4 linked regions of the Saccharomyces cerevisiae S288C genome follow. The protein of the gene in region 1 interacts with the protein of each later gene in a biochemical or structural test. Each region holds a gene or a part of one and is shown in the gene's direction. Other genes may lie near its edges. The genes, in order: IKS1, YHB1, YML045W-A and CLC1.

Region 1 (6,507 bases):
CCTTAAACGCCCAAAACATGATTATATATCACTGCAGACGGAGTAGTTGACAGCAGTCATCTACCCTAAAGGTCATGATGAAACGTGCTTGGCAATATAAGATGCAACTGCAGTCACTGTGAATATAGGCCAGCGGCGAGACGGAAGCATTACACTTTTACTTTTTATGTGTTACGGTTTTTTAAATAGAAGAAGGATAGGAACTAATGGATGCGTTGACTCCCAGGGACTCCCCCAAGCGCGATGACTCGATGGCCACGAGTGCGGCCACTGCTGCTTCTGCCAAGCCTGATGCTCTGACGATAGGTAAAGAAGGCATTGTCCACGGGCACATCCATAACTACAACAACCTGACCTATATCCATGGTCACCTTCACCACAGCGCGCCTGTGAACGACAGTAGTGCTTCGGCAACACCTGCAGCCGCAGCTGTTGCTGATGCCGCTACTTCCGCATTTGCATCTGGAGCTAGCCATGATATGGGTGGTGATTGCCACGTCAATGAGAAATGCAAGGAGTACACCGACTGCCAACATTTCGAGTTCTTGAATTATCACAATAATCCGTCATTAACAAAATATAATGATACTGCAACGTATAATTCTAATAATCATTCTTTTGCAAACAATTTCCATTCGGTAGCTTCTGATCCGACAAGTCCCCAACAGAATTCTAAAAGCGACCTACCACGTAGAAAAGATTCTTGGTTTAACGACGATCTGATACTGCTGCCCTCTTCCAAGAAAAATAAACCGAACCCACCACCTGGATCCGATGATTGTTATTGTACGCCCAAGATTTTGGAAATATGTTGTGACGAAACTCATCCCAAAAGTGAGGCTAATATAAAACAAGGTGAATCTGATCAACCGACAAAGAAAGACATATCTGAGAACGGCAATGATGTTGCAATATTCACAGATGTAAAGAACGATCACTTGATGCCAAATTTTAACCTTCATGATCAGTACTGTAATAGTACCAATCACGACTCTCACAATCACAATAATACTGTACCAGATAGCTTTTCTCAGCTGATGTCTCACTTATCGGAGATTGATTGCGATTTGACCTGTGACACCCCATGCACGGCTAGCACGAGCGCGACTAGTGGTCACAAGTTTGTTCAAGATCATCAATCATCAAATAATGATGACGTTTTCCATAAATACTGCAAATTTTGTGAGGAGAGCACTGATAATCAACCTTGTTCTAAGCATATGCATTTAGAGTCAAAGCCACCTCAACTACCACCCAAATGTTCATCTTTACGAAAACCTACAAACACTTTGCAAGGTACAAATCATGCTTATCACGAACATATCTTAAATACTGATATGGATTTGAAGATTTTGGAAGATTTATGCAATATTTCTTCTTTGTATGAAGTACCGTTTGGAAAACACATTAACCACCACGACCACAATAATGCCGGTAACGGCTGCGATGGTTCGAGCACAGGAAATAATGAAAACGGTAACCAAACAATGAATCTTCTATTATCAAGCATTAATAGATGCAACCCTAAAAATAATCTTAATGGAAGCAATAACAATACGGCTGGAGCAACTTCAACTGATCATCAACACCATCACCATAGAATACAGTTTCATTCTCACAAACCAAATAGAAACAATATTGTGAACAATTCAGGGATTAGCGCGGCGAACACAACAGCCGATCTAACTAACAACGATTTAAATGACTTAATTTCAAGAGAGTATAGTTATGAAAGATTTAGAAATCAAAGTGAGCCCCCTTCGCTACCCAAAGTCACTCATCAGAATCAGAAAAATCGTAGATCTTGGCCTACAAAAGATCTAGAATCTACTGATTTCAGCTCTTTGGAAGACTCATTACCTTCTAGCATCTCTCCTCCTATACAGACAACAAGCACTATAAATTTCAACTGGTGTTTTAAAGAAGAGAAAAACAATGACTTAAAATGCAAATGGAAAGAATGTCCTGAGTCTTGTAGCTCACTATTTGACCTACAAAGACATCTTTTGAAGGATCATGTCTCTCAAGATTTCAAACACCCTATGGAACCATTAGCTTGTAATTGGGAGGACTGTGATTTCCTTGGAGATGATACATGTTCCATAGTGAACCATATTAATTGTCAACATGGTATCAATTTTGATATTCAATTTGCCAACCCAGACTCATTTTTGCCTGGTAGTATATCAAAGGAAAAACATCACTTACTACATTGCCCCAACCCACAAACACACGAAGTTTCTAAAGCAGATGGAGCACCTGATATGACGTCTGCAAATGATGTTTCCAATATACCGCCAATCAAGCAGCCGGAACAGGTGATTTGCCAATGGGATGGTTGCAATAAGTCATTTTCCAGTGCTCAGGAATTAAACGACCATTTAGAAGCAGTACATTTAACCCGGGGTAAGTCTGAATACCAATGCTTGTGGCATGACTGCCATCGTACGTTCCCCCAAAGACAAAAATTAATCCGTCATTTAAAAGTGCATTCGAAATACAAACCTTATAAGTGCAAGACATGTAAAAGGTGTTTTTCAAGCGAAGAAACTTTAGTTCAGCATACCAGGACACACTCTGGCGAAAAACCTTACAAATGTCACATTTGTAATAAAAAATTCGCGATTTCAAGTTCTTTGAAGATTCATATAAGAACCCATACTGGTGAAAAACCTTTACAATGCAAGATTTGTGGTAAGAGATTCAACGAATCGTCAAATTTGAGCAAACATATTAAGACCCATCAGAAAAAATACAAGTGCTCTGACTGTTCCAAAAGCTTTGACGATTTGGGAAAATTGAACTCACAGAAAGTGAAATGCGCATTGGAAAGAAAACCATATTTATAAATGTGATCATCATGGTCCAACGTAAGAAGGGCGGTTTTCAGGATCACATAAATGCATAATTAGAAACATTTCATATTTTACCTAGACTACTTTTTATTTATAATTTTTCGCAAACTCTTTTTTGTAAGCTTTTACAGTACACTTTTTTTACGTAATAACGTATTTCAAGCTTTATTTTTTGTATACGTTTCAGAAAAGGGGGTGGGGGGGAAGGACATTGTATATATAGATCCTATGAGTGACAACTAGGTAACCGAAGAAACACTATTAGATATATAGTTTGAGGGATAGCATAAGTAGAACTTAGAAATGAGTTTAGTACCATATGAAGAAGGTTCGCTGATTTTAGATGATCCTAATTCTAAATCAGTGGTGGTTGTTAATCCAACCTCAGGAACTTTATCATTTTTCCAACAGGACAACAGTAATAATGACTCTGAACTAAATGAAGACCAGACTGCATCTTTATCAGCACTGGACTTTCCTTCAGGGATTCATCAATACAAAAGCCCTATTGCTTCCTATGTGTGCCCGCAATGTGGTACGGAAATTAACCCTGATATTATAAACAGAAGACAACTTCATCGTCGAGCCTCTGCTGGAGTAGAATCAGAAAGCAGTAGGCTCAGTATTCCAGAGAACACTGTGCCACTTGGATTTGAATTTGCCAATTCAAGCTTTTCAAGAAGATATTTTCAGTCATTGGAAAGAAATCATCGGCACTACGCCCTACAAAACGATAGTAACAATAAGCAGGGACAGTTCAGCAAAAACAAATACTTTATTCCAGATGATTTGTTTATCCCCGGATACTTTCGTAAATTTTTCAAAATATTGTCTTTGCTGGGAAATGGTGCAAGAGGTTCTGTTTACAAAGTTGTACACACAATTGGTAATACTGAATTAGGTGTTTTTGCACTAAAAAAAATACCTATTGGAAATGATATGGAATGGTTTAATAAGTGCATACGGGAAGTGAAAGCGTTGAGTTCGCTAACTCACAAAAGTGCCAATTTGATTACGTATAATCATGTGTGGCTCGAAATGGATTCTTCGGTTGGATTTGTCAGATCCATTGATGGGAGCCAATCGGATTCACAAGAAGAAGTTCCTTGTATTTTCATTTTACAACAGTATTGCAGTGGCGGCAATTTAGAAGACTGTATTCTAAGAAAAGTGTTCAATAGGTTCTCAGATACCGAATCACCTGAAGAGAGGAAAAAAAAATTTAGAACTCGCAAGAAAAATCACGGTAAATCAGGAGAAGTTGGCCTATCTACGGAACAGCTCGTATCCATTATAAGGGATATTGCAAGAGGTTTACACGAACTGCACAGTATTGGCCTAATACATAGGGACTTGAAACCATCCAACTGTTTATTATTGACTCCATTTAAAAGTGACAATGAGAATGACAACGTATACGACAGGGAACACAATTCAGATGAGTTTTTCCCATCAATTGTTATTGGCGATTTGGGGGAAAGTCAGTTGGAAGGAGAGTCCAGATTGGGTACTGGTTGCACAGGAACATTAGAGTTTACAGCACCAGACCTTATTATCCAGGGGAGACCAGTTTCTTCTTCTACGTTGCCTTCAAGATCGAGTCACACATACAATGAATACACCTTTGCTTCCGATATGTATTCTCTAGGAATGATTTGCTATTTTATTGTCTTCGGTGAATTGCCCTTTGAACCACAGTTGGATATAGTTGATTTGAAGGTACGCATCAAAAATTTTAGGTTCGACACTGAAGGTATGATTGAAAAGCATCAAGCGATGAAATTGAAACCAATAGACCGTAGAATATTTCACCTAATGGACGCTCTTTTACAACCAAATAATGATGCTAGACCCACAGCGAAGACAGTGGAGGAGACGTTAGATGAAATGCTAATAAATTCCAAACCCGGCAAAAAATTCTGGAAAGAAAATGTGGATAGCACTTTGAACTTCAGTACAATCTCGGAAGTGAATGAGAATACCAACAGTTTTACTGATGATTATATTGACGGAGACAACGTTACTTTATCATTACCAGCACCAGAGGAAAATTTGAGCACCGTATCAACCCAAAACCTCCAAAAGTATTCTGCTTTAAATAGAACAATCCAGGTTTGTTACAAACTAGTTTCTATGATATTAACGATAATCATATTTAAGTGTACCAAAACGGGGTCGTGGCTCTCTTATATGTCACTGATATTGTTGGGAATGGTTTTTAAATCACCAGCTGATGAAAGAGGTAAGCATGCAAGAGCGTTGGTTTTACTGGCCTTCATCGCCGCATGCAAAAAATACATATACTAACAATAAGTACACATTGCAAACTAAATAGCACGTAATTTATTTTTACTTTACAAATTTATAGAAAATATTCTCGCTTATCACCAATGTTCACGAATCATCTTCACCTCTTCTAAGGGCCGGTGACAAAGGTGCATAATGTTAGAAAAATTGACCGATGAGTAAATTTATAGAGGGAATAACCAAATGAAAAGATCTAGGTGACAGAAACGCCAATTGACCTCTGTAGAAATAAAGTTCTTTCATTATGACAGCAGAAGATATACTCCTTCGAGAAAGAACATCTACTACGACACAACGCCCTGTCAATAGCGAACAATACCTTAATGTGCAATTAGCCACAGCCCCAGTAAAAAATTTTCAGACTACAAGCGAGATTAGCCGGCAAACTCTTGTAGACACATCAAATGATGACGTTTATTCCATCAAGAATTTGAAGGGCTCGAGGAACCCCATTAGCCCTAGTGTTTCTAACGTTGGCTTCCAATCCATATTCCATACAGTAGATCATCCTCGATCGAAGGTCAGTGTGGCCTCAAATCATTCCTTGAGGAGCAATGACAATGCCTCAGCTGCAACATCTAAATCTGGTTCTTCTCAGATAGGGGAATCTCATAGCGTTGACACGGTGGAGTGCTCGAACAATCTATCTAAAAAGTTATCTTCTGATGCAATATCCATTACTCAGAAAAGTTTACACTCCACGCCCTCCGGCAGGTATATGAAAGGAAAGGCTTCTGGCTTTTTTAATAGGAGAAACAGAGCACATACGACCATTTCATCGGATCCTGCCTCCTTTTTGACAGATTCAAGCACCTTACATAATAGTTCACATTCATTTCGAAACGTGATTAAGAACTTTTTCCAAAATAAAAGCCACAGGCACATTGGTCAAGATGCTATCGAGCCTGCAATTCCAAATTCCTTGAGTAAATTTCTGCATTCCTCTTACGGAAGACATAAATCTCCGTCACAATTTATTCATACTAATGCGGGGCAACTTGTGGACTCAGGAACTTCTGTGTACTCATTGAATGTTAATCCATCTGGTGTCAATCCCAACACAATCGTTGAGGATCCGCTTTCTGGAACTGATCCTGCCTCACCGAATCCGGTCTCAATGTTACACGACCTTTTAAGAAATTTACCATCTCTGGAAGCTAACTATAAACACTTCAACTCCCAAGAACTGACAACCCTAACAAATAATATTTGGAATATATTTTGTAGTAACGTAGCAGAATTATTCAGAACTCAAAGAATATGGAAACTCAGGGCCAAAATAGAAAATTTTAACGAAGTTTTAGAATTCTATTGCATTTTAAAAACAGATCCAAGAGTCACACAT
Region 2 (5,441 bases), on another chromosome or scaffold:
TCTAAATCAAATTTGTCATCATTTGGGGTTAAATCTATTGTATTAAGGCGTTGCGTACTAGACTGCGAATTTATTTCATTCAGGGGTGCAGATGGCAAATTTAATGGTCTTTGTAAAAGTGCATTCAAAACATCAACGTGGCTCTCCCATAAGGCGTAAAAAAGTGGCGAATGGCCGTTGTCATCTTCAATATCCAGACGTGCATTATGTTTCAATAGTTCAGTAATAACTTCAGAATGACCTGAACGAACAGCGTAAAAAATGGGCGTCCATTTATTAAACCCATCAATTTCGTTGGGATCCGCCCCATAACGTATCAATAGTTGAATTAATTGTGGATCGCCGCCAATTTTTGCCACTATATGAAGAGTGCATAAACCTGTTGAGTTCTTTTTGAAAAGCGGTTGACACAAGTGTTGTGAACTTTTGTTCTTGGCATTATCAGCATTTTGCTTACTCCGAATTTCTAAAAGTAACTTGGCGGCGTCATGATTATTAAATTTACAAGCAACATTTAAAGGATCGAACTGGACTTTAGTAGAGCTGATTACATTCTTACTATAATCCAGAATTGGCTTTTCAATGGGTGATGCGTTCGCACCACCAATAGTCAGCAGATCCCTAACAACATCTATGTGGTTGTTAGTGATAGCCAAAACCAAGGGTGTCTTAGAATCACTATCAATGGGATCAACGTCCTCTAAAAGATTGGTGATTAGCAACGAGTGAACAAATTCCAGTTTTCCTAGCTCTGCAGCATAATGTAGCGGCACCCGCGAATGTATATCTTGGGCATTCAGTAGTTTTTGTACTGTTTCTTTAGATAACTTTGATGTTGTTAAAGCCTCATCTAGAATAAATAAGCGTGATTTTTCTGGACAACTTGCAGCCTCGTGAAATACGTTTTTTCGTGAAAATACTTGATCATCTTCGTCACAATATGACAGATCAATATGATCCTGATTGCTTTTATAGAAAATATGCAGAGAGTTATCGTCCAAAGGACTAGCCACCAGTAATAAAAACAGCGTCGTTAAGCACTCCTTCAACAAAGAAAAGACATTTTTATGAAAAGATTCTGAGGAATTTTGTAGCAGATATGTGAATATCTTGGTTTCTCTGAAGTTTCTTAGTAGTGCATGCTTTCTTTGAACATCTTTCACCGTGGCTATATTCAAAATTTCCTTATACCAGTTTTCGATTTCCATCTCCATGTCCAAGGAGGAGGAAGATGCTTGAAAAAGATGTTCAAGTTGGTTTTCCGAAATCTTTGATGTTGTTAATTCATAATTATTGTGTAATATGTTATTATTATTGTTGTTGTTGTTGTTGTTATTATTATTGTTATTATTATTATTGTGTTTATTATTGTTGCTGGTATTATTGTCGTCATCATCGTCATTAGTAAACGTACTGGATTGTATGTCTGCCCTTCTATTGTTGTTGTCAATATCATTCAGCTCTAAGAGAATATGTAAAGTTTCATCGTTTAATTTTAGTGGCCCATCTCTGGTAAAAATTGGTTGAATGGAAACAACAGTAGCAAGGTAAAAATCTTTATCGTGAGATTGAGATCTCTTGTCCCATTTCTTCAGAGCTTTTGAAAATCCCGTTTTATTTAACTCAACATACTGCTCCAAATTTCTAAGATCCTTTTGAAACTTTTTGAAAGCCGCATATAAGTTTTTAAATGAGGTAGCTTGGTTTGAGTTTAGCTTACCATTTATCTTATAATCTTTATATTTTGAGTGTAATATATTGAATTTTATTCTTAAATCGGACTCTCTCGCCAAATAATAACCATTTACTTTTTCCAGCTCCCTCTCTAGTTTAAAAAAAAAGGCAGCTTTATTTTCTTGCAGTCTCTGATGTATAATTTTTTCGTCGATGTCATCTAATGTTAAATGCAAATCTAAATCTGAACTAGCCTTTAGCGTGGGAATGGCCAATTGTTTGATAAGTTTCTTTAGAGCCTTATAATCAATAAAATGGCTGTTGTACTCCGCCAGTTCCAACTGCCTGGCTTCCAAATACTTGCCGAATTTCATTGCACGTTTATCTATCTATGTTGCCTCCAAAGGGTTATTCTCTCAAAAAGCTCAATCACTGTGGAACCGAAAAATAATGTTATGAAGATTTTTTGAGCAGTATGTCTTGTCAAAAGCTCAACTAGTGCAGCTGATGTTGCTTAAAAAAATAAAAACCAAATTTTTCTACTTTGCTCTTGTACGTTGCACAAAGAAGATTATGTAACAAACTTGAAGGGACTCTCAAAAACTTGCTATAAATTGTACAAAAGCCTCAATATCACCTAGTAGTGGTTCTATACCTGTCTCGAGCCATCGCCAAATAGTTGATAAATTTGATTAATTTCTGCCCTTATTCGCACGTGCCATAACACCTGTACCTCTCACGCTAAAGACCTTTATAATCAAGGAAACTTGTTGCTGCAGAGGAAATAGGAGGTAATGAATTGTGATAAGGCACATCACATCAATTTTTCTTGCATTCTTGCATAGAAAGATAGGCTGATGCAATTAGCGCGTTTCAATCGCGTGCCAAAGACGTATATACTAAGCAATATAACCGAATTGATTAAGTAGTTGGTTAATTGTATATTTTGTGATAAAGATGGTTAACTGACTTAGGCGGACATAATAGTAGAAAATCTATATAATTTTTCCCATGCAGTTGTTATTACAAAATGCAATTCTTGAGATAGCACAAGCAAGAATAATAGGGCACGGTACGTTCATTCACGTAGCGTTAGCTAGTGCTGCCACAAGGTAAACGTACGATTATATTCATTTTTGAAACGGAAGTTCTTTGTAACCCTCATGCTCGTTTGATAGTCACTTAACTACAAGATATTCTCGTTCAGTGATTGCTTGCTTATAAATCAGGAAACTTCATTTTTATTCCTTACATTTTCGAAAAGCCCGCAAGGTTTTCTTCGCCACGCTCAAGCATTCATCGTTGAAAAGCAAAACTGTGCACACTGTACCTTAGGCGACTCTTCTCCGAACAAGCTCATGGCTCATTTTTAAAATCACAAGCTTCGTATAATTGCCAAGACATAATCTAATTGAGAAGGTCAGACGGCAAAACAAATGACCGAAATCTTCGTTTATTGGTTCGCCTGCGTTGCCAACTGGTACATTTTCCCAGAGTACCAGCAAAGGAAGGCATCCTTGATGCCTACTCTGATACTGTGGAGGATTTAAACTGAAAATGATAGTCTGCGCGGCAAATCTTTCTATTTCTACTAAAGTTGGATCCTCCGGCCGATATAACGTATTCTTTTTATCCAATAATGTCAATTTTAAATGCTCGATTACTAATCGTTACTAAAATAGCGGACGCGCTTATGCGTCTTCGACGGATAGTTTTCAGATCATCCCTCTCAGAAAGCAATGCAGGAACCGCCTGTAAAACTATCTTTTGCTGGCACTCACACATTATGGTATTGATGCCACCTGAAAATACGGAAATTAACCATTCCTTGTACGGAGATCTAAGAGCAACTATTATTGAATTGTTGCCGTTAAAGTTTCATTTCAGTTCCGTGTGTGGTCAAGTACAAGACTACTGATGAAATATGTTGTACACACACGGAAATATATATATATATATATATATAACAATATTGTGGGTTGAGGTGGAGACTTGATTTTTCTTATACAGTATATTCTTGTTCATTTTTTACCATTTTCAACAAACCACACAAAGACTTTATTCATTATGCTAGCCGAAAAAACCCGTTCCATAATCAAAGCAACCGTTCCTGTTTTGGAACAGCAGGGCACTGTCATCACGCGTACATTCTACAAAAATATGCTTACTGAACACACCGAATTACTTAATATTTTTAACAGAACTAATCAAAAGGTTGGCGCACAACCAAATGCCTTGGCCACTACTGTTTTGGCAGCGGCTAAGAACATTGACGATTTGTCTGTGCTTATGGACCATGTCAAGCAAATTGGCCACAAGCATCGTGCCTTGCAAATTAAACCTGAGCATTATCCAATCGTTGGTGAGTACTTGTTAAAAGCAATCAAGGAAGTTTTAGGCGATGCTGCGACTCCAGAGATAATTAATGCATGGGGCGAGGCTTACCAAGCAATTGCTGACATCTTCATCACTGTTGAAAAAAAAATGTACGAAGAAGCTTTATGGCCAGGTTGGAAACCATTTGACATTACTGCCAAAGAGTACGTTGCTTCAGATATTGTTGAATTTACTGTTAAGCCAAAGTTCGGTTCTGGTATTGAATTGGAAAGCTTGCCAATCACTCCAGGTCAGTATATTACGGTAAACACTCACCCAATTAGACAGGAAAACCAATACGACGCTTTAAGACACTACTCTCTTTGTTCTGCTTCAACTAAAAATGGTTTACGATTTGCAGTAAAGATGGAAGCTGCCAGAGAAAATTTTCCTGCAGGATTAGTCTCTGAATATTTACACAAGGACGCTAAAGTTGGTGATGAAATTAAGCTTAGTGCTCCGGCTGGTGATTTCGCAATAAATAAAGAGTTGATACACCAAAACGAAGTTCCATTGGTGTTACTATCGTCTGGTGTTGGTGTTACACCACTTTTAGCTATGTTAGAAGAACAAGTCAAATGCAACCCAAATAGGCCAATTTACTGGATTCAATCTTCCTATGATGAAAAGACTCAAGCATTCAAAAAACATGTAGATGAACTATTAGCTGAATGTGCGAATGTCGACAAAATAATTGTTCATACTGATACTGAACCACTGATTAATGCTGCATTCTTGAAGGAAAAGTCACCTGCGCATGCCGATGTCTACACTTGCGGCTCTTTAGCTTTTATGCAAGCTATGATTGGTCATCTAAAAGAACTAGAGCATCGTGATGATATGATTCACTATGAACCATTTGGTCCAAAGATGTCAACCGTGCAAGTTTAGGCGTTAAGCCTCGGAAACTTCAATTTTATTACTGATTCATTTGATAATTTCACTTGTTCGATTTCACAGTTTGAGAAGTTATATTACGAAATAAGAAAAATTTTTAAAACATGAGACCATTGCTAATCTTTTGTTGTTATACTGTGTTAGAAATCCTCGTGAAATCCTTGTGAAATCCTATGTGGAATATTTAGATAGTAAGTAAAGATTGTGTATGTATTTATAAGATGAATAAGCGCCAGGTGCTAAACAGAGTTCACTTCACGTTAACGCCAGTCCAATTTTTGATTGCATTCCCTGTTTTTTCTACATCTTTGTTCAACCATTTTTTGGCATCATAGTAGTATTGCACAGACGCGGTACTTAATCTCTTTGTTTCTTTCCAAACACGATCTTGTCTTTCGGTAAAGTGTGGAAAGGTGTTCATTTCTAGATTATGGATGAGACCCATGGTGTTCCTGAAGGTTGTTGGCATTGCATACGCAAAACAACAAGACCCC
Region 3 (5,803 bases), on another chromosome or scaffold:
ATGTGTTGTGTGTTAATAACCCGAACGAAACGGATTTTATTAGGAATAATTTTGAAATTGCAAAGGATCTTATTGGCAAGCAGTTTCTATCACACCCTTTTTGGGACAAGTTTATAGAATTTGAAGTTGGGCAGAAGAATTGGCATAACGTTCAAAGAATATACGAGTACATTATTGAAGTTCCTCTACATCAGTATGCGCGGTTTTTCACATCTTACAAGAAGTTTTTAAATGAAAAAAATTTGAAGACAACAAGGAATATTGATATAGTTTTACGAAAAACACAAACAACAGTAAATGAAATTTGGCAGTTCGAATCGAAAATCAAACAGCCCTTCTTCAACCTGGGCCAAGTGTTAAATGATGATTTGGAAAATTGGTCGCGATATTTAAAATTTGTGACGGATCCTTCAAAATCCTTGGATAAAGAATTCGTAATGTCCGTTTTTGACAGATGTTTGATTCCTTGTCTTTACCATGAAAATACGTGGATGATGTATATTAAGTGGCTAACAAAGAAAAATATATCCGATGAAGTGGTAGTGGATATATACCAAAAAGCCAATACGTTCTTACCACTGGATTTCAAAACTTTGAGGTATGATTTTCTTAGGTTTTTGAAAAGAAAATATCGGTCAAATAATACCTTATTCAATAACATATTCAATGAGACAGTATCGCGTTATTTAAAGATTTGGCCCAACGACATATTACTTATGACGGAGTACCTTTGTATGTTGAAAAGACATTCTTTTAAGAATTCCTTAGATCAATCGCCAAAGGAAATTCTAGAGAAACAAACATCGTTTACTAAAATCCTAGAGACATCAATCACCAACTACATCAATAATCAAATTGATGCCAAGGTGCATTTACAGACCTTAATAAATGATAAAAACTTAAGCATAGTCGTGGTAGAATTGATAAAAACTACATGGCTTGTACTTAAAAATAATATGCAAACAAGGAAATATTTCAACCTTTATCAAAAAAACATCCTCATTAAAAATTCTGTACCGTTCTGGTTAACTTACTACAAATTTGAAAAGAGTAATGTAAATTTTACCAAGCTGAATAAATTCATTAGGGAGCTTGGGGTAGAAATATACTTGCCGACTACAGTAATGAATGATATTTTGACGGATTATAAGACTTTCTATTTAACTCATTCAAATATCGTCACGTATGAATCCTCCATTATAGATTCAAATACATTTGACCCTATCTTGTACCCTGAGCTGAAAATGTCGAATCCAAAATACGATCCAGTATTAAATACTACAGCAAATGTAGATTGGCATAAAAAGACGGAATGGAAGGAGGCTGGTCACATCGGCATAACGACAGAAAGACCGCAGATATCCAACAGTATAATTGAGTGCAATTCAGGAACTTTGATTCAAAAGCCCATCAGTTTGCCTAATTTTAGAAACTTGGAGAAAATTAATCAGGTCAAGATTAATGATCTATACACTGAAGAATTTCTTAAGGAAGGTAAATGAAATTAATCATAAATCATAAATTATATTTAAAATAATAATTTACTCGGCCGGACCCCGAAGGAGTACCCAAATATTTACTTGTTTATAATTTATTATTGAAAATGTTTTATTCTATATTGGTAGAGTTAATAAATAATTATATAATAAATTATTGTATGATAATATAAATAATAGTTTATGTAATATTTTAAGTTATTATTTATAATAAAAAAGTAACTATTGAACCTGTTAAATTAAAATATATTCAAAAAACATTAGAGGTTGGTAAGATTCTATTAAATCGCAGAAATCAAATAATATGAAGAGTAAAACAGGTAGATGAAATAAATTTATTATTAATTTAGTTTACGTAAATCGAAATGACAGGCCTTTTCTGTGTTTTTTGATGGTTATATAATCAGAAAAATTTGATAAATATTGTTTATATGTAAAGACTATTAATGATTGTTTCTATCGTCAGGATATTTTGAAAACGTCCAAATATGTAAAACAACTTCTAAACATTAAATATTTTTGGTGAATTAAAAAAAAATATGCGCAAGCCCGGAATCGAACCGGGGGCCCAACGATGGCAACGTTGGATTTTACCACTAAACCACTTGCGCGATCTTTATTGGTATTTGTTGGAACATAGAGTTAACTAACCATATATAACAACTTCTTAAATGCACAGTACAGTCTATTCAAAACTGTAGCTATGCGCTGCATCTTGTGGCAAACTCGAATGGAATTGTGGGTTTGCTAGGTCTCTGTCCATCTGTAAACAATATTTCCCGGGAACGGGCAACAAAGGTAATGTTTATATGTGTTGGAATAAAAATCCACTATCGTCTATCAACTAATAGTTATATTATCAATATATTATCATATACGGTGTTAAGATGATGACATAAGTTATGAGAAGCTGTCATCGAGGTTAGAGGAAGCTGAAGTGCAAGGATTGATAATGTAATAGGATAATGAAACATATAAAACGGAATGAGGAATAATCGTAATATTAGTATGTAGAAATATAGATTCCATTTTGAGGATTCCTATATCCTCGAGGAGAACTTCTAGTATATTCTGTATACCTAATATTATAGCCTTTATCAACAATGGAATCCCAACAATTATCTAATTACCCAAATATATCTCATGGTAGCGCCTGTGCTTCGGTTACTTCTAAGGAAGTCCACACAAATCAAGATCCGTTAGACGTTTCAGCTTCCAAAATTCAAGAATATGATAAGGCTTCCACTAAGGCTAACTCTCAACAGACAACAACACCTGCTTCATCAGCTGTTCCAGAGAACCTCCATCATGCCTCTCCTCAACCTGCTTCAGTACCACCTCCACAGAATGGGCCGTACCCACAGCAGTGCATGATGACCCAAAACCAAGCCAATCCATCTGGTTGGTCATTTTACGGACACCCATCTATGATTCCGTATACACCTTATCAAATGTCGCCTATGTACTTTCCACCTGGGCCACAATCACAGTTTCCGCAGTATCCATCATCAGTTGGAACGCCTCTGAGCACTCCATCACCTGAGTCAGGTAATACATTTACTGATTCATCCTCAGCGGACTCTGATATGACATCCACTAAAAAATATGTCAGACCACCACCAATGTTAACCTCACCTAATGACTTTCCAAATTGGGTTAAAACATACATCAAATTTTTACAAAACTCGAATCTCGGTGGTATTATTCCGACAGTAAACGGAAAACCCGTACGTCAGATCACTGATGATGAACTCACCTTCTTGTATAACACTTTTCAAATATTTGCTCCCTCTCAATTCCTACCTACCTGGGTCAAAGACATCCTATCCGTTGATTATACGGATATCATGAAAATTCTTTCCAAAAGTATTGAAAAAATGCAATCTGATACCCAAGAGGCAAACGACATTGTGACCCTGGCAAATTTGCAATATAATGGCAGTACACCTGCAGATGCATTTGAAACAAAAGTCACAAACATTATCGACAGACTGAACAATAATGGCATTCATATCAATAACAAGGTCGCATGCCAATTAATTATGAGAGGTCTATCTGGCGAATATAAATTTTTACGCTACACACGTCATCGACATCTAAATATGACAGTCGCTGAACTGTTCTTAGATATCCATGCTATTTATGAAGAACAACAGGGATCGAGAAACAGCAAACCTAATTACAGGAGAAATCCGAGTGATGAGAAGAATGATTCTCGCAGCTATACGAATACAACCAAACCCAAAGTTATAGCTCGGAATCCTCAAAAAACAAATAATTCGAAATCGAAAACAGCCAGGGCTCACAATGTATCCACATCTAATAACTCTCCCAGCACGGACAACGATTCCATCAGTAAATCAACTACTGAACCGATTCAATTGAACAATAAGCACGACCTTCATCTTAGGCCAGAAACTTACTGAATCTACAGTAAATCATACTAATCATTCTGATGATGAACTCCCTGGACACCTCCTTCTCGATTCAGGAGCATCACGAACCCTTATAAGATCTGCTCATCACATACACTCAGCATCATCTAATCCTGACATAAACGTAGTTGATGCTCAAAAAAGAAATATACCAATTAACGCTATTGGTGACCTACAATTTCACTTCCAGGACAACACCAAAACATCAATAAAGGTATTGCACACTCCTAACATAGCCTATGACTTACTCAGTTTGAATGAATTGGCTGCAGTAGATATCACAGCATGCTTTACCAAAAACGTCTTAGAACGGTCTGACGGCACTGTACTTGCACCTATCGTAAAATATGGAGACTTTTACTGGGTATCTAAAAAGTACTTGCTTCCATCAAATATCTCCGTACCCACCATCAATAATGTCCATACAAGTGAAAGTACACGCAAATATCCTTATCCTTTCATTCATCGAATGCTTGCACATGCCAATGCACAGACAATTCGATACTCACTTAAAAATAACACCATCACGTATTTTAACGAATCAGATGTCGACTGGTCTAGTGCTATTGACTATCAATGTCCTGATTGTTTAATCGGCAAAAGCACCAAACACAGACATATCAAAGGTTCACGACTAAAATACCAAAATTCATACGAACCCTTTCAATACCTACATACTGACATATTTGGTCCAGTTCACAACCTACCAAAAAGTGCACCATCCTATTTCATCTCATTTACTGATGAGACAACAAAATTCCGTTGGGTTTATCCATTACACGACCGTCGCGAGGACTCTATCCTCGATGTTTTTACTACGATACTAGCTTTTATTAAGAACCAGTTTCAGGCCAGTGTCTTGGTTATACAAATGGACCGTGGTTCTGAGTATACTAACAGAACTCTCCATAAATTCCTTGAAAAAAATGGTATAACTCCATGCTATACAACCACAGCGGATTCCCGAGCACATGGAGTCGCTGAACGGCTCAACCGTACCTTATTAGATGACTGCCGTACTCAACTGCAATGTAGTGGTTTACCGAACCATTTATGGTTCTCTGCAATCGAATTTTCTACTATTGTGAGAAATTCACTAGCTTCACCTAAAAGCAAAAAATCTGCAAGACAACATGCTGGCTTGGCAGGACTTGATATCAGTACTTTGTTACCTTTCGGTCAACCTGTTATCGTCAATGATCACAACCCTAACTCCAAAATACATCCTCGTGGCATCCCAGGCTACGCTCTACATCCGTCTCGAAACTCTTATGGATATATCATCTATCTTCCATCCTTAAAGAAGACAGTAGATACAACTAACTATGTTATTCTTCAGGGCAAGGAATCCAGATTAGATCAATTCAATTACGACGCACTCACTTTCGATGAAGACTTAAACCGTTTAACTGCTTCATATCAATCGTTCATTGCGTCAAATGAGATCCAACAATCCGATGATCTTAACATAGAATCTGACCATGACTTCCAATCTGACATCGAACTACATCCTGAGCAACCGAGAAATGTCCTTTCAAAAGCTGTGAGTCCAACCGATTCCACACCTCCGTCAACTCATACTGAAGATTCGAAACGTGTTTCTAAAACCAATATTCGCGCACCCAGAGAAGTTGACCCCAACATATCTGAATCTAATATTCTTCCATCAAAGAAGAGATCTAGCACCCCCCAAATTTCCAATATCGAGAGTACCGGTTCGGGTGGTATGCATAAATTAAATGTTCCTTTACTTGCTCCCATGTCCCAATCTAACACACATGAGTCGTCGCACGCCAGTAAATCTAAAGATTTCAGACACTCAGACTCGTACAGTGAAAATGAGACTAATCATACAAACGTACCAATATCCAG
Region 4 (4,761 bases), on another chromosome or scaffold:
CAAAGTATACATTAGATAAGTACTCTAGCGAGGAGATTTTGCCAAGTTTTGAGCCAGTTTATTCCTGGTCTTCTGCAGCCACCAAATCATCCAAAAATACTAATAATCATCTGGAGAAAAATAACAGGGCGACTCATCGAGTTAGTTCTAAAAATAGCGAAGTCCACGAAGCGGACGTTTCTAGAAATCCGAATACATTTACTCTTAAGCTCCAATACCCAATATTCTCACTTTTGAATATGAGATTGAGAAACATCTCCTTGAAATCTGAGCATTGCATATTATCATCGTTAGACTTTCAAACTTCTAAAGCATCCGAACAACTGACCAAAAAATTTATTTATCCGCAAGAACACAATTCTTTTCTCAAACTGAACTTTCAAGAAATATCGTATAAACTAATCGACGGAACCTCTCAAATTGAACTAGATCCAATCTGTCCTTTGAAAGTGCCACTCACTGCATTTTCATACGATAGCATTAGCGCTACTTTTAAACTGGTTCTGTTACCCAAATCAACTCAACCACATCGTGTGAAAATCACCTTAGCGTACGAACTCGAGCTGCATCCCAATCTGAAGTTACCTGTGAGAACATCATGGGAAACAGAAGTCACATTGAAGCGTTCTATGCCAATTTCCTCGACATCTTCTCAATACTCGAGTAACAACAATAATACCAATCATAGCGCTTCTTTTAATGGTGCGGCCAACAACGTTAATTCTGGTGGTTTGGCCAATCTAAGATTAGGTGGGGTTTCCTCCTCAAGATTTAGTCTTGGAGCTGCTTCGACTACATCATTGGTGAATAGCAAATTAAGCAATGTAAAATTCAAGTTTATTAATAGCAATATAAAAGTTATTAAGGGCGAAAAGTTTACTATGAGGCTTCAGATCATTAACTCGTCATCATCCCCCCTGGATCTTGTTGTGTATTATAACAATACAATAAACCCAATCCCTTCAGCTAATAACGTACGTAACAGCAATGGTATAAACAACTGTGGCATGAATAATGGGACTATCCCCAATTCGCCCTTGACACTGGAAAATCAGTACCAACTGCATAATAAATATAGAAAAATTGCGGAGGGGATTATACTATTATCCAACGATTACAAAATTCCAGTTGTACCTCCGAGAGAAACATACTTCGCGGATTTACGATTTATTGGTATTATGTCCGGATATTATGGCACTCTCTCCGGACTTAAGGTATTGGATTTAAATACAAATGAACTTATAGAAGTTGGAAATGGCGCATCTGTGTTAATCCAGTAAGCGGAACAAGTATACATTTTATTAACATAGACTACATACTAATCTGTAACATTTCTATAAAAAAGTTATTATCATCACATTACACGATAGAAACACTTCCATATTTTTTTACACTGAAAGGGGCACCTAGAAGATTAAACAACTAAACTGAAAATATACGTGCTAGAAAAAGGGTTTTACAGCTTTACTTAGGCGTTGCGAGTCACCCAAAAGAGCAGTTGAAGGACGCCGCCGTTTCACTAGATACATATATATATAATGTCAGAGAAATTCCCTCCTTTGGAAGATCAAAACATTGATTTCACACCCAACGACAAAAAAGATGACGACACCGATTTTTTAAAAAGAGAAGCAGAGATACTTGGAGACGAGTTCAAGACTGAACAGGATGACATATTGGAAACGGAGGCTTCCCCCGCCAAAGATGATGACGAAATTAGGGATTTTGAAGAGCAATTTCCAGATATCAACTCCGCAAATGGCGCAGTCTCGAGCGATCAAAATGGTAGTGCTACTGTATCTAGTGGTAATGACAATGGCGAGGCAGATGATGATTTTTCCACATTCGAAGGTGCCAATCAGAGTACAGAATCCGTTAAAGAGGATCGTTCTGAAGTTGTAGACCAATGGAAACAACGTCGTGCTGTAGAGATTCACGAAAAGGATTTAAAGGACGAGGAGTTAAAAAAGGAATTGCAGGATGAAGCTATCAAACATATTGACGATTTTTACGATTCTTACAATAAAAAGAAGGAACAACAATTGGAAGATGCTGCTAAGGAAGCTGAGGCTTTCTTAAAGAAAAGAGATGAATTTTTTGGTCAAGACAATACGACCTGGGATCGTGCACTTCAATTAATTAACCAAGATGATGCCGATATCATTGGGGGTAGAGACAGGTCTAAGCTTAAAGAAATTCTTTTGAGATTGAAAGGTAACGCGAAGGCTCCCGGTGCTTAAATGATGATGAATAATAAGAACCATAATGAACTAAGGAAGAGAAGGGGCTTATTCCCTATCATTCCCGTCATACATGAGTATCATACTTGATAGGTTCAGTAAATAACTAATTCATACTGTAAATTCATTTATCAAGACAACTATAATATAGATTATTTACAAACTTGTAAACTCTTCTCTTCTAAAAAAACACATCACATAATACTAAGCTGAAACAAAAAGAATAGTATATATTTCCCAAAGTTGCAATGCCAATACTTTTTCAAGTAAACATTAACCAAGGACTTCGCAAAGAATTTTGCGAAAAATGGGCTGATTTTCATTTTACTTGTTGGATCCACGAAGGTGAATGTAAGAAGCATCACGATGCACCGCAATTTGTTGCCCATTAATCTGCGCCTTTTCGTGACGAATAAATATTCGATACACTGCCTTAATATAGTCCATTTTAGACTTGGAAAAAAACCCTTGGTGAAATATGAATTTATTATCTTTTCGTTTATATTTGCATAATTATCATCAATTGTAACTTCATGTATTTCATTTAGTCTGTCCATTACATGCTTCAAATTTGATGAAGATATGGGCCAATCATTATGGTTCTTGACCCCAAGGTATTGAGAAAAGTTCCTGACTTCGTGGCCGCCGACATTCTTATTTGATTTCGTCCCTGAAGTAAAAAAGAATTTTAATGTTCTGTGATATACTGCCAAAACTGTGAAAATGGCATTGATTGTGAAGAAATCTATTAAAAATGGCCTATGGTCAAAAAGCACACGGAATGGTAACGAACTCCTGTCCAGTTTGGCAAATAATACAATAATCGCTAAACACACAAGAATTTGCTGGAATTTTATTAATGTACCCTGGGAAAAATTTTTTTTTTTCAACCATTGTGTTAATTTTGCGATCTTTAATTTGGAGGCTATAGCTTCCACAAGAAAGTGTGCGATAATCCACGAAGGTACCTCACCCTTGGTAAGCATTAACGATATTCCTACAATGGAAGACCAGTGAATATAATGATTTTTTAAAAATGGGAACTTCATCAAAGTTGGATATAGTATGTTCAGCAAGACTAATATAGTAGACTCTCTTAGCCATGGCATGATATCATTTATTTGAATATTTTCACCCTGTAATTTTTTCAATTTCCATTTTTTGACATAAAATACTAGGTTTATTCCATAGACTTGGGTTATTCTTTTCAAGATGATGACGAGTTGTTTTCTTCTCTTCTTGTTCAAGAGGAGTAGAAGCCTTCTTATTATCTGCTTGAAGCCAGAAACTGCTTTCCCAGTACCATTTGGACGATTGTGTTTCATATAGTTAGCAAGTGTATACTCTCATTAGCTCTGTTCGCGATGTGTATTTCGTGGTGCTTTATATAGGGTTTTTAACTTTTCCCCATGAACATTCGCTGTTATGTATTCGCAACTAAAAATAATGTCTCTCTTTAATTTTAATTTACATCCAAAGTACGGAAATGGTAACTAAACTATATACAAAAAAAGTTCGCTCAAAAAAAAGTTTAACTATTGTCCAATTGTGCCCATTTTGGTAAATCTGTTTTGAACTTGAATTTGCCATTAATCTCCTCATACTTCCAAGCATGCAACCATAATTCTAGGTCTGATAGCACAGGATCCTTTAAATCAACAGTATGACATTCAGGACAAAATGTTTCCATTGTCCGACAATTATTTTTTGTCTCATCGACAAATTTTTGAAACCTCACTTTCAATTCCTCAGCATCTAAATCCTGCTGATTCTCCCATCTAGGAAACTGAGTTATAAACTTAAGCCTTTCGGGGTATTTTGTAATATGCGAACAATAAACACTATCGTTGACGATGGGATGACCGAGCCTAGCTAAATGGATTCGAATTTGGTGTGTTCTTCCAGTTATTGGCTTACAAGCGACGACAGTTTCATCAGCATGAGAGAAGTATCTTATTGGGTAGAACTTGGTAATAGCATCCTTCGATGTCGATAAACCAACTGGAAACTGTCTCTTTGGATCGATAGAATATATGGGTGTCATTTCCACTGTAACTTTGGAAGTGTCCTCAAAAGTCGTTTCCGCCGCATTTTCATTGTCCAATATCAATTCGGAGTGAGGAAATCTTCCCTTGACCCTTGCCAAGTAGATCTTAATCATATCTCTTGAACGAATACTCTTCTGGATTTCCCCCGCACTCTGACTGTTCTTGGCCAATATCAACAAGCCTGATGTGATCTTGTCTAACCGATAACAAGGAAGAGCATCTACACCATGTAACTTCAGTAATTCAGTAATTGTGTTCTGGTAAAACTGACCGGTTGGATGCACTGGTATACCACTGGGTTTATCAATGACGAGGATACTCTCATCTTCAAAAACAATATTGAATCCCGCTATTCTGCCAGGTAAATCCTCCGCTTCAACTTCCTGGCTACACCATTGTTTTACCGGCGGTTCGTGCTTATGCGTAGTTGTTTCTAAAACATCATGATTCTTGATTATGGTAGTCATGAGATG

The links.
Region 2: the proteins of IKS1 (region 1) and YHB1 form a complex in vitro, tested with the Saccharomyces cerevisiae proteins (one large-scale study listed by BioGRID).
Region 3: the proteins of IKS1 (region 1) and YML045W-A form a complex in vitro, tested with the Saccharomyces cerevisiae proteins (one large-scale study listed by BioGRID).
Region 4: the proteins of IKS1 (region 1) and CLC1 form a complex in vitro, tested with the Saccharomyces cerevisiae proteins (one large-scale study listed by BioGRID).

The regions. Positions count from the first base shown.
Region 1 is NC_001142.9:326,773-333,279, reverse strand, and holds IKS1 (protein kinase IKS1), read left to right. Parts: upstream 1-3,158; coding exon 3,159-5,162; downstream 5,163-6,507. Other genes in the region: ZAP1 (Zap1p), read left to right, coding at 207-2,849; BIT61 (Bit61p), read left to right, coding at 5,407-6,507.
Region 2 is NC_001139.9:956,163-961,603, forward strand, and holds YHB1 (flavohemoglobin), read left to right. Parts: upstream 1-3,741; coding exon 3,742-4,941; downstream 4,942-5,441. Other genes in the region: PHO81 (Pho81p), read right to left, coding at 1-2,048; MIC26 (Mic26p), read right to left, coding at 5,198-5,441. UniProt on the Saccharomyces cerevisiae protein: Is involved in NO detoxification in an aerobic process, termed nitric oxide dioxygenase (NOD) reaction that utilizes O(2) and NAD(P)H to convert NO to nitrate, which protects the fungus from various noxious nitrogen compounds.
Region 3 is NC_001145.3:181,862-187,664, forward strand, and holds YML045W-A (gag protein), read left to right. Parts: upstream 1-2,599; coding exon 2,600-3,922; downstream 3,923-5,803. Other genes in the region: PRP39 (Prp39p), read left to right, coding at 1-1,502.
Region 4 is NC_001139.9:830,918-835,678, forward strand, and holds CLC1 (clathrin light chain CLC1), read left to right. Parts: upstream 1-1,538; coding exon 1,539-2,240; downstream 2,241-4,761. Other genes in the region: TRS65 (Trs65p), read left to right, coding at 1-1,280; PEX35 (Pex35p), read right to left, coding at 2,435-3,565; pseudouridine synthase PUS6, read right to left, coding at 3,772-4,761. UniProt on the Saccharomyces cerevisiae protein: Clathrin is the major protein of the polyhedral coat of coated pits and vesicles. In yeast, it is involved in the retention of proteins in an intracellular membrane compartment, presumably the trans-Golgi. The yeast light chain is important for cell growth.